Ovis aries: one gene and its partners. The protein of the gene in region 3 interacts with the protein of the main gene of each other region in a biochemical or structural test. Links are inferred from orthologs where the notes say so. Each region holds a gene or a part of one and is shown on either strand. Other genes may lie near its edges.

Region 1 (4,013 bases), on a different chromosome or scaffold from region 3:
GCCAATCTAAAGGAAACTGCGAACCAGGAAGTGCCTGATCGAGAGCCCAGGGTTAAAGAGCGAGGAGAGACTGCAGAGGGTCCAGCGAGGAGAAATGGGGAACTGCGCGGGTGGGGGTGGAGGGAGGGCCTCTGCTCCCGAGGAGGTCCGTGTGGCAATCCCATTTCCAGTTCCTCCTTTAGTCCCCTTCCCTGACTTAGCCTCTCGGCCTCACCTTATTTGGTGAGGGTAGGGCAAAGTAGAACGCTCCCAAGCCACGACAGGTGCCCCCTGCTTCCCCTTTTCAGGGCTTCAGAACATCCTCATCAATTGCCACCCACCTGACACCCTCCCCGGACCGACTTTCCCCCAGAGTAATGGCCCCAGCGGCCAAAGTAGGAAGAGCAAGGAATCTGGGATCGCCTTCGCAGTCGCTCGCATTGTTTTCGTTCTTTAGTCGCTAAGTCGTGTCCGACACATTTGCGACCCCTTGGACTCCAGTCTCCTCTGTCCATAGGATTTCCCAGGCAGGAATACTGAGTGGGTTGCCATTTCCTGCTCCAGGGGATCTTCCCCGCCCAGGGATCGAACCTGCGTCTCCTGCACTGCACGCGGATACTTTACCACTCATCCTCATATCTAACATTTATCGAGAACTCGCCCTGTGCCAGGTAACATGACTGTTTGTTTTTTTTTTAACAGCAATCTCTGAGGTGGTTGCTCTCTCATTTTACAGATAAAGAAACTGAGACCCAAAGGTAACTAAGGAATCTGTACAAAGCCAAACACCTGCCAGAGGGCAAGACCAGACTGGAAATGAGGTCTGCCTCGCCTAATCGCTGCTCCGGCCAGATCCGGTTGGGCTGGGCGACCTTTGGCCGTTGGGGACACCTTTCCACCTCTTAGCATCAACTCTGGGCATCACCGACTGCACGGACAGGAGTTGAGCAAGCTCCGGGAATTGGTGATGGACAGGGACGCCCGTGCTGCTGCAGTCCATGGGGTCGCAGAATCGGACACGACTGAGAGTGAACCGAACACAACCAACCACCCCTTAGGGTAGAAGTCTCCAAGGCCCGCCCCCGCCCGCGCGGCCCAACCCGGGCCCTAAGGGGCGGAGTCGGCCAGGTCCTGCAGGTGGGGCGGTGGGCGGGGCCTGGCTGAGGCGGGGCACCGAGGGGGCGTGACCGGAAGCCTTAAAGAGGCCGCGGCGACTGGGCCGGGCGGTAGAGGCCGCCGGTCGCGGCGATCACCTCCTTACTTTTCGGTTGGGTCGCAGAACCGTCACCATGTCCCTGGCAGCCTCGGCGGGCCGGGGCCCCGGGGCCGTGTGGTCCCCGACGCACGTGCAGGTGACGGTATTGCAGGCGCGGGGGTTGAGGGCCAAGGGTCCCGGGGGCACGAGCGACGCGTACGCGGTGATCCAGGTGGGCAAGGAGAAGTACGCCACCTCTGTGTCGGAGCGCAGCCTGGGCGCGCCCGTGTGGCGCGAAGAGGCCACCTTCGAGCTGCCGCCGCTGCTGTCGGCTGAGGCCGCGCCCGCCGCCGCCGCCACCCTGCAGCTCACCGTGCTGCACCGCGCGCTGCTCGGCCTCGACAAGTTCCTGGGCCGCGCCGAGGTGGACCTGCGGGGGCTGCACCAGGACCAGGGCCGCCGGAGGACCCAGTGAGTGTGCGGGCGGGTGGCGAGCGCGGGGAGACGGGCGGAGCGAGCACGAAGCCTGGCCGGAGCGCCGAGACCCTTGCAGAATGTGTCTCCCCAAGGGGACAGCCGGGGCCACGCCTTTGCAGAGGGGGACCCCCCAATCACCCCCCACCCCCCCCCCCAATCCCCCTCCCCCGAATCCCTCCCCCCAATCCTCCCACCCGCTCGGCCGGTTCTAGGATTCTCGCCTAGCTTCTTCTTCTTGGGCTGGCCTGCCCCGGCTCTCCCAGTAGGTGGGTTCCGGTACTTGGGGATTTTTTTTTTTTTTTTTTTTTTTGAATCTGCTGGACGGAGCTCAGCGTCTGGCATTTAGTAATCACTTCATGAATTTTTGATGAATTGAAACTATGTGTGGGCTGACGAATTCCTCTTATTAGCTGAGTAGCTGTGTATATTTGATGTAGGCATCAGCTTACGTGTAAAGCCTCCTGGGTATTTCATTGTACTGGACATCGAGCTGTGAATGGCTGGGCCGGGGCGCTGGGAAAACCAACTGGAGCAGTTAGATCCACTGACACCAAAGCCCTAGAGCCTCGCTCAGGGGCCGAGCTGGGGGCGTTACTGTGCTGGGTGGGTGTGGGTGAGGGGTGGGGAAAGGGGAACGGGGGCTGTCCAGCGAGGGCTATCCCCTACCCCCTTCTCACCAACGCCTTAAGGGTCGATCGGGAGAATTTGCCCCTCCCTCCTTCCTCTCCTCCTCTAGGAATGCTAGAACAGTTTGGTCTTAACTTTCAGGCTGAAATACACTAACCATTTTTGCCCTCGGCCCCAAATTAGTAAGGATTTCCCAGTGATGGCTGGAACCAGGGCCTGCGGTTGGCCAGGTTGAACTGAAAAGTAGGCCTTATTTCGCTCTGGAGTTTGCAAAGTTCTCTCTGGTCCTACTGAGTGGGGCGGGGAGGGGGTTGAGGGGGCAGGATGGCTGCCCACCTGTAGCTCCCCTCCCTCCTTACGATGTTTGTGTTAGGGTATCACACTCCTTTAGGGAAAGCAAAGCAAACCCCTGTGCATTCTGAACTGTTACCGGTTTGTGTTCTCTCAGTGTTTGGAATGGAACATTTGATTATGCTCATCTGGTATACCCAGAGCTAGCCTCCCTTAGAGCTTCCTCTCTGGTTCAGCAGTAAAGAATTCACCTGCCAAGGCAGGAGATGCAGGTTCTATCCCTGGGTGGGGAAGATCCCCTAGAGAAGGAAATGGTAACCCACTCCAGTATTTTTGCCCAGAAATCCCATGGACAAAGGAGCCTGGTGGACTACAGTCCGTGGGGTCCCACAAAAGTTGGACATGACTGAGCACACACACACACACAGCCTCGCTTAGCTTAATTGGTTGCTTTGCTGGACCTTAAATATGCTAGTCATGTTATCACCTAATTTCTGTGGTTTATGAAGCACTCTGATTCACGCTGTATGTTTTAGATATACATGGTATTTTAACTTTCCCTTGGGGAGGAAGCAGGAAGAGCCAGAAGATTTGATGTTACCAGACTCTCTTTTCTGTAGGTTCTTGCAAATGTTATCACTGCTTCCTTTATCCAGCCAAAGATCAACAGGCATTTCTGAGCTCGAATCAGATAAAAAGGGAGAGCCTAGAGGTGAGGATGGATGGGGTATTTTTGTGGCATCAGCTTACAAGCTGTAAGGTGAGCAGCAGCATCTTTGCTGACCAGGGGCTGAAGCAGTCCTAACTTTCTGCTTGATTAAATGACATTTGGGGCCTTGGATTTACTGTCCTTTGCCTTGTCCCATCCCAAATGTGTGGATATCATGTCTGTCTCTACCATCTGTTTCTTCTTATTCCCTTGAAAAGTAGATTGGATCTCCCTGATAGAGATAGGGATTCCAGATCTCTGGGTCTGGTGCCCACTCTGGCCCTGACTCATTGTTGGGCTTCAGGATGCTCCGTCTCTAAATACCCAAGTTTCCCCATGTACAGATGGAGCTTGTGGCCAGACTTAGCTGATATTTATAAGATGTTTCTGGATTCCTGGATTAATGGAACCCCATGTGTAGATTCAAAAGGTCCTGTTACTGCTTTGGGAGGAACGAAAACCTCCCAAAGTTCCCTATTTCAGGAAGGGTTCAGTCTCTGCGCCTTCATTTTTCTCATCCTCTCTGATGTAATTCTAAACCTTGGTGATTACTCCTGTCCCTGTTATATGAGCTTGTGACCACTTAGTCACAATATCAGCTTGTAGGAAAACCGTGCTTAGCTGATTTTTTAATAACTACAAAGGAAGCCTTCTTCGCTCCTCCAGCAGTAGGCAAAATCGCAAGCTTTCCATCTGTCGCTTCCTGGGACTTTCCAAAATGCTGGGGGAACTCAG
Region 2 (4,094 bases), on a different chromosome or scaffold from region 3:
AACAAGTCAGGATTATTCAAGTTGAAAAAAAAAAAGAACTGAATTAAAGAAAGAGAGACCTAGAGGTCAGAACAACTGGATGCAGTGCACGGTTCTGGTGAGGAAAGTGGTTTGAACAAAACAGCACAGATCAGCCTTTTGGGGCCAAATAGGGAAATCTGAATAAGTTATGCATAATAATTAAGCTGAGAATTTATTGGAGCAGAAAAGTGCTGATCATTTACTGGGAAAAAATCAGGTTACAAGACAGTATGCACAGCATGACCTCATTTTATGGAGAAAATTTACATATAAGCATAGAAACAGCTCTGGAAGGATGTGAGCGAGGTGTCACAGCGGGGCTACCTGGGGGATGGGAACATGGCACTCTGGTTTTTGCTTGTCCATATTTCTATTCCCACAGTGCATATAAACTGATTTTGTAATGATAGAAAATTATGCTTTAAAAAGAAAAATCAGGGCTCCATGTTCCTGATGCAGGCGGCATAGGATCGATCCCTGCTCAAGGAACCAGATCCCACACGCTGGAAATGAAGAACTCGCGTGCCACAAGGATAATCAAAGATCCTACGTGCCACAACTAAGACCCAGCACAACCAAGACCCTAAATAAACAAATACATTTAAAAGAAAATCACTGATCCTCCTCCAGGATAAAGGGGCATTTTGGCTTGGCACGGGTGGCTAAGAAAGATCCCAAGGGATTTCAGTGGCCAGAAACTTAACCTGAGGGCACCTCTCAAAAGACAGCCTTGCCCCCAGACACCTGCTGTGTGTGATGCGCTGGGGCTGGAACAGTCCCGGGGGTCCCTGGTCCAGCCCCTCCATGTTATTACTAGGAAAAGTGTCACACAGTTGATGGGGCTTCAGGGCTGGAAGCCAGAGGTTTGGCCCCTGCCAGGTCCTATGGAAATGGCCTGAGGCTTCAAGAATAGAGGGTATTTGGCCTGGAGAAGGGCAGATGGGAGGGAGAGAGGGGGAAGGGGACAGGAGTGCTGTTTTCACATATTTAAAGACTGCCACGTAGAAGTGAGACCCATGTGAGTCCCTGTGAAGAACCACAATGACTAAGTGACAGCAGGTTTGGCTCCTGAGTGTTAAGAGGCAGAAGCGCAAACAAGAGGAGCTGCTCAGCTCCGGGAGAAGGTGGGGCTGGTGAGGGGCTCACCGAGAGCTAACGTGGCTGCCTGCCAGAGCCTGCTGGGAAGCTCTTCCCACCATTGAGACCGTGGCTCTGGGACTCCAGTTGCAGCCAGGGCCAGCTGGGGTCTGCAGCCTGCCTCAGAGGATGGGAGGGGTCAGACCAGCCTTTGGGAAGAAAGATCAAGGGGCTGCAGGAAAGCGCCCTGAGCAGATCCTGGCAGAGGGAGAGCCTGGGTTCCAAAGGGCGGGCAGCAATGGGCCTCTCCCACACGTGGTACCTGAGTCCTCAGACTTGACACCTGCCTCATCCTCTTCTACCTACCGCTCTCAGGGACTCCCAGGCCCCAGCCCAGCCCAGCGACCACAAAGAGACGATTATCTATCATCCTTCCCCCTTGCCAGGTGACAGGGAGGCATGGATCCAACCCAACCAGGCCCGGGTTCTCCCATGTTCTGGAATGCTAGGCCCCAGCTGTTCCCGGAACAGAAAGCCAGGGAGTGCCAATGCAGAGCCAGAGGCCTCAGGTGGCCTTGGAAAGTCACTACTCAAGGTTTCGTGCCCTGACCATTTCAGAGTGGGCAGGAGCAGGAGTGTGGGATGCTCTCCTGCCAGGTAGGTGCCTTGCACATCCCCCACCACACACACATACCCACCTCTCCTCCATGGCATGAGAGGACACTGGTCTCTGCTCACCCTACTGGCAGCACCCACCCTCGGATCACAGCCCTGCTAACACTGTTCCTGCTTTCCCCAGATCCGCGCGGCCCCCACCCCGTTGCAGACACTGCTCAGCTGCTGTTCCCCAGCTTGGCTGTGGCAGGCTTGCTTGCCGCCACAGCCAGCTGCCAGTCAGGCCTGCCCCTCGGAGCCCGCAGGGTGCGGGGAGGAGGGGTGGTCACCAGGCGCTAGGCTGAGAATCCAGGAAGGCCGAAGGCAGACACCTCCCGCTAGGTTCCAGGCCGGCTGGGTGCAGTCAAGGGGCCGAGGCGGTAGAGCGCCCCTAGTTGTCCTCTCCTACCCTCGGCCAGGCCCAGTGGGGCGTGTGCTTCCCCCCTACTCCATCCCGCCCCTAACCCCGGCCCCCGTCCTGGGATTCCTGCACCGGACCTCTGCAATTCGGTCTCCGCAGGGCAGGCAGGGGAGGGGGTCCCAGAGCTAGAATCTGACGGTTCCCCCCGCCCCATATACCGAGTAGGCTGAAGAATGGTTAGAGGGACCCTCAGGGCCCGGGGTAAGCAAGGTGGGCAGAGAAGCCCCCCTGCTCCCCACTCCGGGGCGCGATGCGTGACACTCGCAGCACCTGCGCGAAAGGTGGAAAGCCAGGGTCCGACAGGGCGGGGAAGCCCCGGGGCTCGAAGTCCTCAGGTCCGGCGGGATGCCTCAGGGCTGCAGCCGCCGCCGCCGCCGGGGACTGGGAGCGGGCAGGTGAAAGGGCTAGGAAGCCGGGGGTGGGGGGACTGGGGCGCGGGCACCCCCGCCGCGGGGCCCTTACCTCCTCGCCTTGGCCAAAGCGCAGTCCGAGCGCCGCGACGCGCTCCACGCGCAGGAAGCCGTCGGGGTCGCGGCCGCACACCTCGAACACCTCGCGCAGGCGGCGCACTGAGCGCAGCAGAGCCGCGGGGGCGCCCGCCCAGCCCGCGCCGCCCGCCATCCGGGCCGGCCCCGCAGCTAGCCCGAGCCACGCGCCCTCCCGCCCCGCGCCGCCGCCGCCGCCGCCGCCGCCATCGCCGCGCGCCCTCCGCCCGGCGCTGCGACGCGCAGCCTCCGCCCGGTGGCGGCGGCGGCCGAGCCGTGTCAGCAGCGGCGCCGCAGCCCCGCGGCTCGGGGCGGGCGGGGGAGCGGGAGGCTGCAGACAAAAGGAGCCGCGCGCCTCCGAGGGCGGCCGCCCGCGCGGCCCCGCCGCCGCCGCCCCCAGGCTCGGGATCCCTGGGCCGCTCAGAGCTCGTCCCGTCCCCTAGAGAGCGGGAGGGTGGGTGTGCGACCCGCGCCCGGAAACCCAGGGCGGCCCCAAGGCTCCGCCCCTGCTTGGAGGAGTCCGCGAGGAAGCCCGAGCGCCCCCACCGGACCACCCGCGCTGGGGTCCAGCCGCCTCTCCCCCACCTCAGCCCCCCACCAGACGCCAACCCATCCCCGCTCACCGCGCCCTTTGTACGCGCCGGCGGTGCCGAGCGCTCAGTGTGTCCTAGAGGTTTCCTGTATTAGCGCGCTGGACTTGTTCCACTCGCCGCTGAGAAAGCTGAGACTCAGAGAGGTTGAACTACTTGCCCTAGGCCGCTCAGCCAGTCGGGGGCCAGGTCAGGATTCCTAGCCAGTCTGCAGCGGGATGGAGCTAGGCCCTCTACTCTTCCCCTCCTCTCTGCTGCCCCTTAAAGAATAGTTTCCAGGCTTAGGTCAGCACGGGCCTTCCCAGCAGAACTCAGGGCCAGCTCCGGGCTGGGCAAGGGCCGGGAGAGCGGGAGCGGGGACCCTGGGACAGAAGCGAGTAAGGGGAGACAGAGCAGTCAGGAGGAAGGAAAAGCAAGAGCTGCTCACAAGGCCGGCCTGGGGCCGCCCAGCATCTTGGGGAAGTTTCCTCCCTTCCCTTGAGTTCCCACGCTCACCCCTTTATTGCACCCTGGACCCTCAAGCTGAGAACCCGGGAAAGTCTTGGCCCTGGGGCTGATGGCAGCCTCCAGGCCTGTACCTTAGCCTCCTCCCAGTCCTGCTTAGCTCCCAATCCCTGCTCCTGGGACTCCCAGTTTCGCCCCCCGGCTCTGCAGAACCTGGCCTGGCTCTCTTCTCCTCCTTTTTGTTGCTCAGCATGCCTGGCCCTCGTGGCACTAGTTGTACCCAGCCCAAATGCAGGTCTTGGCTGAACCCACCCGCACTTAAGTTTTCCAGCTCAGTTCAGAGGTTTCCTCCTTTAGGAAGCCTTCCCTGACAGCACTCCATTTTGCCTGTTACTCTGATTT
Region 3 (4,165 bases):
CCACATAATCTAGTATATTCACAGGTCCCAAGGATTGGGATGTGGACATTTTGGGAGAGCCTTTATTCTACTTACTACAGGCACCCTTGATGAAAACTTAAATTGCACACAGGTGTAGTGAGGTTTGACAATAAATGGGTACAGCTTTTTGGCATAAACATAGTGCTTATGTACTCAGTGTGTCCCACTCTCTGGGACCCCATGGACTGGATAGCCCACCAGGCTCCTCTGTCCATGGGATTTTTCAGGGGTGGGTTGCCACTTCCTCCTTCAGGGAATGAGATCAAGCCAGAGTCCCCTGCATCTGCAGGCAGATTCTTTACCACTGAGCCATCATAAGTCTCGTCACATACAGGGAGGCCCTGGTGTGTGATCTTTGGAAATCACTTGAACCTCCCCATCCACGTTTCTGCAAAAATGGAAATTGTCATCCTTTGCTCTGCATGTTAAAGAAAATAACTATGTAACCAGGTTCAGCTTAAAGGGTGACAAATAGGGTTCAAGAAGTTCTTGATGAATTTTGATGAGGAGGGTGGGCGAGGTTCTGTGAATACATCTGGAGACAGTTTGAGAGATTTCTGGAGAGAAGGAGTGGAAAGTGCCTGCCCTCGTATGAAGTTGGAGGCTGAAAATTCTAACAAAAGCAATCAACTTTTCATGGAAGCTTTCGAAGACGGCCGAGGTTAAAAAAACAAAAAGGGTGAAGTGTAGAGGATACTTAGGAGACACCTAGGTAACAGAGTACAGAACTGAAGGAAATGCATGTGCTCTTCCTAGGCAACTGAGTTTCGTGGCATTCCCTCCCTACTCAGTTCAAGAACACATATACCCCGCAGGTGTACAAGAGTCACCTTGTGAATAAGTACATGACTTATAAAATCGTGGCCAGGGAAAAAACAAAACCCAAACCAAAAGTGTAAGGAATACAGGTTCCACCGAGATTTGAACTCGGATCGCTGGATTCAGAGTCCAGAGTGCTAACCATTACACCATGGAACCGCCACGCTCACGATCCTGCCTTCGACTCTCTAATCCTTAGAGAACCCCGCCCCCATCCACAAACCGACCACCAGAGGCAGTGCTGAAGCGCTCTCCAGTGCCCCACTTCCCCGAATAGCGGCGAGTGGAGTGAGGGAGAGACTATTATGTATGGAGAGCAGCCTCTATCAGTGAGGTAAGCCGGGAGTACAGTGCTCATTAACCCACTCGAAACCCCTCCAAGCCCGGGAAGCTTGGACAACAGACGACAAACTTGCGCACGCCCCCTTTATTGGGCTGAGGGGCGGGGCGCCGCCCCCGGAAGTACTTCCCCCTATGGGTGGGGGCCTGCCGGAAGTGGCGTAGCGGCAGGGAGGGGTTCTTTACCGGGTCCGGCAGCTGAAGCTCGGCGTTCGGGTTACCCCTGCAGCGACGCCCCCTGGTCCCACCGGTACCACTGCTGCTCCCGCCCCTTCGCTTCTCGGCCGCGCAATGGGCACCCGCGACGACGAGTACGACTACCTCTTCAAAGGTGAGGCTGTGGGCTCCGGAAGTCTCCCTGGAGTCCCGGTTTGGGGGCCCGGGACACTCCCGGGGGACCCGCCCGCGGGTTGCCCCTGCCCTGAGATCGGCCTTCCTCAGCTCTTCCTCTCTGTGCAGCTTATCCTGAGGTCCCCCAGCTCAGCCCCTTTCCTTCCACTCACGGATGGGGGTCCTCACCACACAGCGGTCTCATAGCGACCTCCCCAGAGGCCTTAGGAAGCCTCACGGTCCCTACCCTGCGCCCCTCTCGCGGCCGACTGCCGTCTCTCGAATCGCTTTCCTTCCTCCTCGGGTTCCAGGGCCCCCTTAATGGGGCGCCCACCCCCCACCATCCATGTTTTCGGGTTCAGCGCCCCCTCCCCTTCGGTATACACCCTTCCTGAGCCCCTCCGACAGGCCTTTCCCTTCGTTCTTCACCTTTCTTTAGGCGAACTCTCCCATACAGATCTTTTTCTTATCTGCCTCCCTTTTCCCTCGGGCGAACCCTCCTCTGCCCTCGGACAGCCGCCTCTCCTCGCCCTCTTCTATCCCCGGGGCCAGGCCCTGGTTAAAAATCCGAGCGGGTCGGCGGCCCCACCCCCACCCGCCCCACACTTCTCGTGGCCCGAAACCTCGCATGGCCCCCGGCATTGGTAGCTCTTTTTCTGCCTTCCCTCGGCGAGTAGTTTACGAGCTCTCCCACGTCGCTCGTGCGACCCCGGCGGTGGGGGGTAGGGCAGGAGGGATTGTCCCAGCACCCACGCGCGCACTTGTCGCAGTGACCCGGCAGACCGATGTGACTTCCCACCCAGCCTTCTTTTCTCCTACCCTCCCTACCCAGAGGCAACCAGCCTGGGATAACTCTTGACTCTGTCCGAGACTAGGGGATACGGATGGGTGGTGGCTGTTATCCTTGCCAGACCTGAAGGCCCAGTTCCTGAGCAGGAAAGGTTGTACGCTGCACAAATAGCTTGCTTTATCGCTACGGACTGGTTGCTTCCTGCTGCAACGCTGGGAGGATCCAGCCTTTTGGTGTTTTTAGAACAGGAAGGGAAGCGTCCTGGTTGGCCACATACCTTTCCCCAAAGGTGGGGGAGCATGGGGAAGTTGTGTGCTCTTTGGTCAAATTAAATATTTTTCATAAGATAGGGAACCATGTAGTGCCCTTGGACAAAACATAGTGGAGGATGGGGAGTGAAAAAAAGAATTGCTTATTGGTTAGTCCGGAAAGAATCCAAATAGTTTTGTGTTTTTTTTTTTAATCGACAAAGATAATGGGTACAGTTTTCCTTGAGAGGAAAGTACAGTAAATGCTTTTTTTGTTGGATGAATGCTCTCTCTCTGATGCTGTTTCTCTGGTCCTGAGTTAGGAGGGCAGCCATCAGTACTATGCTGAACAAAGATCATTACCAAGGAGGAAGAAGCCATTACTATTAAAGCTTTACAGTGAAGGGTGGAGTTTGAAAAGAATGTTAAGCTTAATGACTCTTTCTGACTTTGCCACTGGGTGCTAAGTATGGTTGACTAAACAGAGCAGGAAACATTGCTTTACCAGTACTCTGCAAACCTTGGCCTACTAGTTGATGGGCCTACTGCCACTTAACTCTTCTGGGCCAGAAATTCTGGCCCAGAGTGAGTACCTTCAGTATCCACTCCCACCGCCTGACAGTGGGAAGTTGTTTACAGAGAAGAGGGTACTTAATCATTTTACAAATACAAAAAAGAAACATGGATTAGTTTACATACTGTTGGCTGAAGGCTTCTGAGGTCTGGTGAAATTACTTCAGTGAGACCCTGGAGACTGGGGTTTAGTCATTAAAGGGAGATTTGTTTTTTTTTACATAAGGGCTGCTTTTGAAGTAATTAATTTAGGACAAGATAGACTGTCATTCTCTTGTTTGGTTTACAACTTGAGTGTTGGTTATAGAACCTAGTTATTTCCTCACCAAAAATACTTAGTACCTTGGATTGGCTTAAGGGATTTTAACTTAGCTTTGGGGTTTAGACCACTTTGCTAACAATGATTGAGAAAGCCCAGGGCTTTGGAATGGCACAGGCCTGGTTTCAGATTACTGCCTCAGGTCTTACATTTGCTTTGTGACCTTGGGAAAGCTGACTTTTGAGCCTCAGTTCTCTCATCTGTAAAAATAAAATAGTATCTCTCAGGGTTGTTGTGAGAATTAAGTGAGACTGTAAAGTTTTAGCTTCTTTGAGAACTCAGATAATGTTAAAGAAGTTACTGTGGTTCTCAAAAGTTTTTTTTTTTTTTTCCTTAAAACCGTAAATCTATAACTGGAAGAGCATTTAAGTATTAGTAAAGAAACTTAAAACTAGAGCCTTCTAAAGTACCTTATATTTCCACAGGTTTTGGTTTCATTTGTTGTACACTTTGCTGTTAGAATGTTTTTAAAAATTCTGCTGAGAAAGATTTCCACTTTTAAAAAAGCTCTTAATAGGATATGAGTCACTTTTTAACTTCTTTGATGATTATATAGCCAATTTCTTATTTATACAATTTTAATTTAAAAAGAAGCAACAATAATTTCAGTTTTAAATGGTTTTATGCTATGTAGATATTCCCTGAGATGAGCTGCAGCTGTCTCCTTGGAAAAAGAACCTAGCAAACTTAATAGTTGAGGGAATTGTAAATTAGTTTGTAGCTCTA

Evidence for each region. The genes of interacting proteins can lie anywhere in the genome.
Region 1: the proteins of RAB11A (region 3) and RAB11FIP1 form a complex in vitro, tested with the Homo sapiens proteins (2 studies listed by BioGRID, with this or other methods). The link is inferred for Ovis aries from reciprocal best matches to the Homo sapiens genes RAB11A and RAB11FIP1.
Region 2: the proteins of RAB11A (region 3) and RAB11FIP4 form a complex in vitro, tested with the Homo sapiens proteins (2 studies listed by BioGRID, with this or other methods). The link is inferred for Ovis aries from reciprocal best matches to the Homo sapiens genes RAB11A and RAB11FIP4.

What each region holds. Positions count from the first base shown.
Region 1 is NC_056079.1:32,239,987-32,243,999, reverse strand, and holds the start of RAB11FIP1 (rab11 family-interacting protein 1), read left to right. Parts: upstream 1-1,204; 5' UTR 1,205-1,268; coding exon 1,269-1,645; intron 1,646-4,013. UniProt on the Homo sapiens protein: A Rab11 effector protein involved in the endosomal recycling process. Also involved in controlling membrane trafficking along the phagocytic pathway and in phagocytosis. Interaction with RAB14 may function in the process of neurite formation.
Region 2 is NC_056064.1:18,348,680-18,352,773, forward strand, and holds the start of RAB11FIP4 (rab11 family-interacting protein 4), read right to left. Parts: upstream 2,810-4,094; 5' UTR 2,795-2,809; coding exon 2,636-2,794; intron 1-2,635. UniProt on the Homo sapiens protein: Acts as a regulator of endocytic traffic by participating in membrane delivery. Required for the abscission step in cytokinesis, possibly by acting as an 'address tag' delivering recycling endosome membranes to the cleavage furrow during late cytokinesis.
Region 3 is NC_056060.1:12,717,162-12,721,326, forward strand, and holds the start of RAB11A (ras-related protein Rab-11A), read left to right. Parts: upstream 1-1,363; 5' UTR 1,364-1,470; coding exon 1,471-1,510; intron 1,511-4,165. UniProt on the Homo sapiens protein: The small GTPases Rab are key regulators of intracellular membrane trafficking, from the formation of transport vesicles to their fusion with membranes.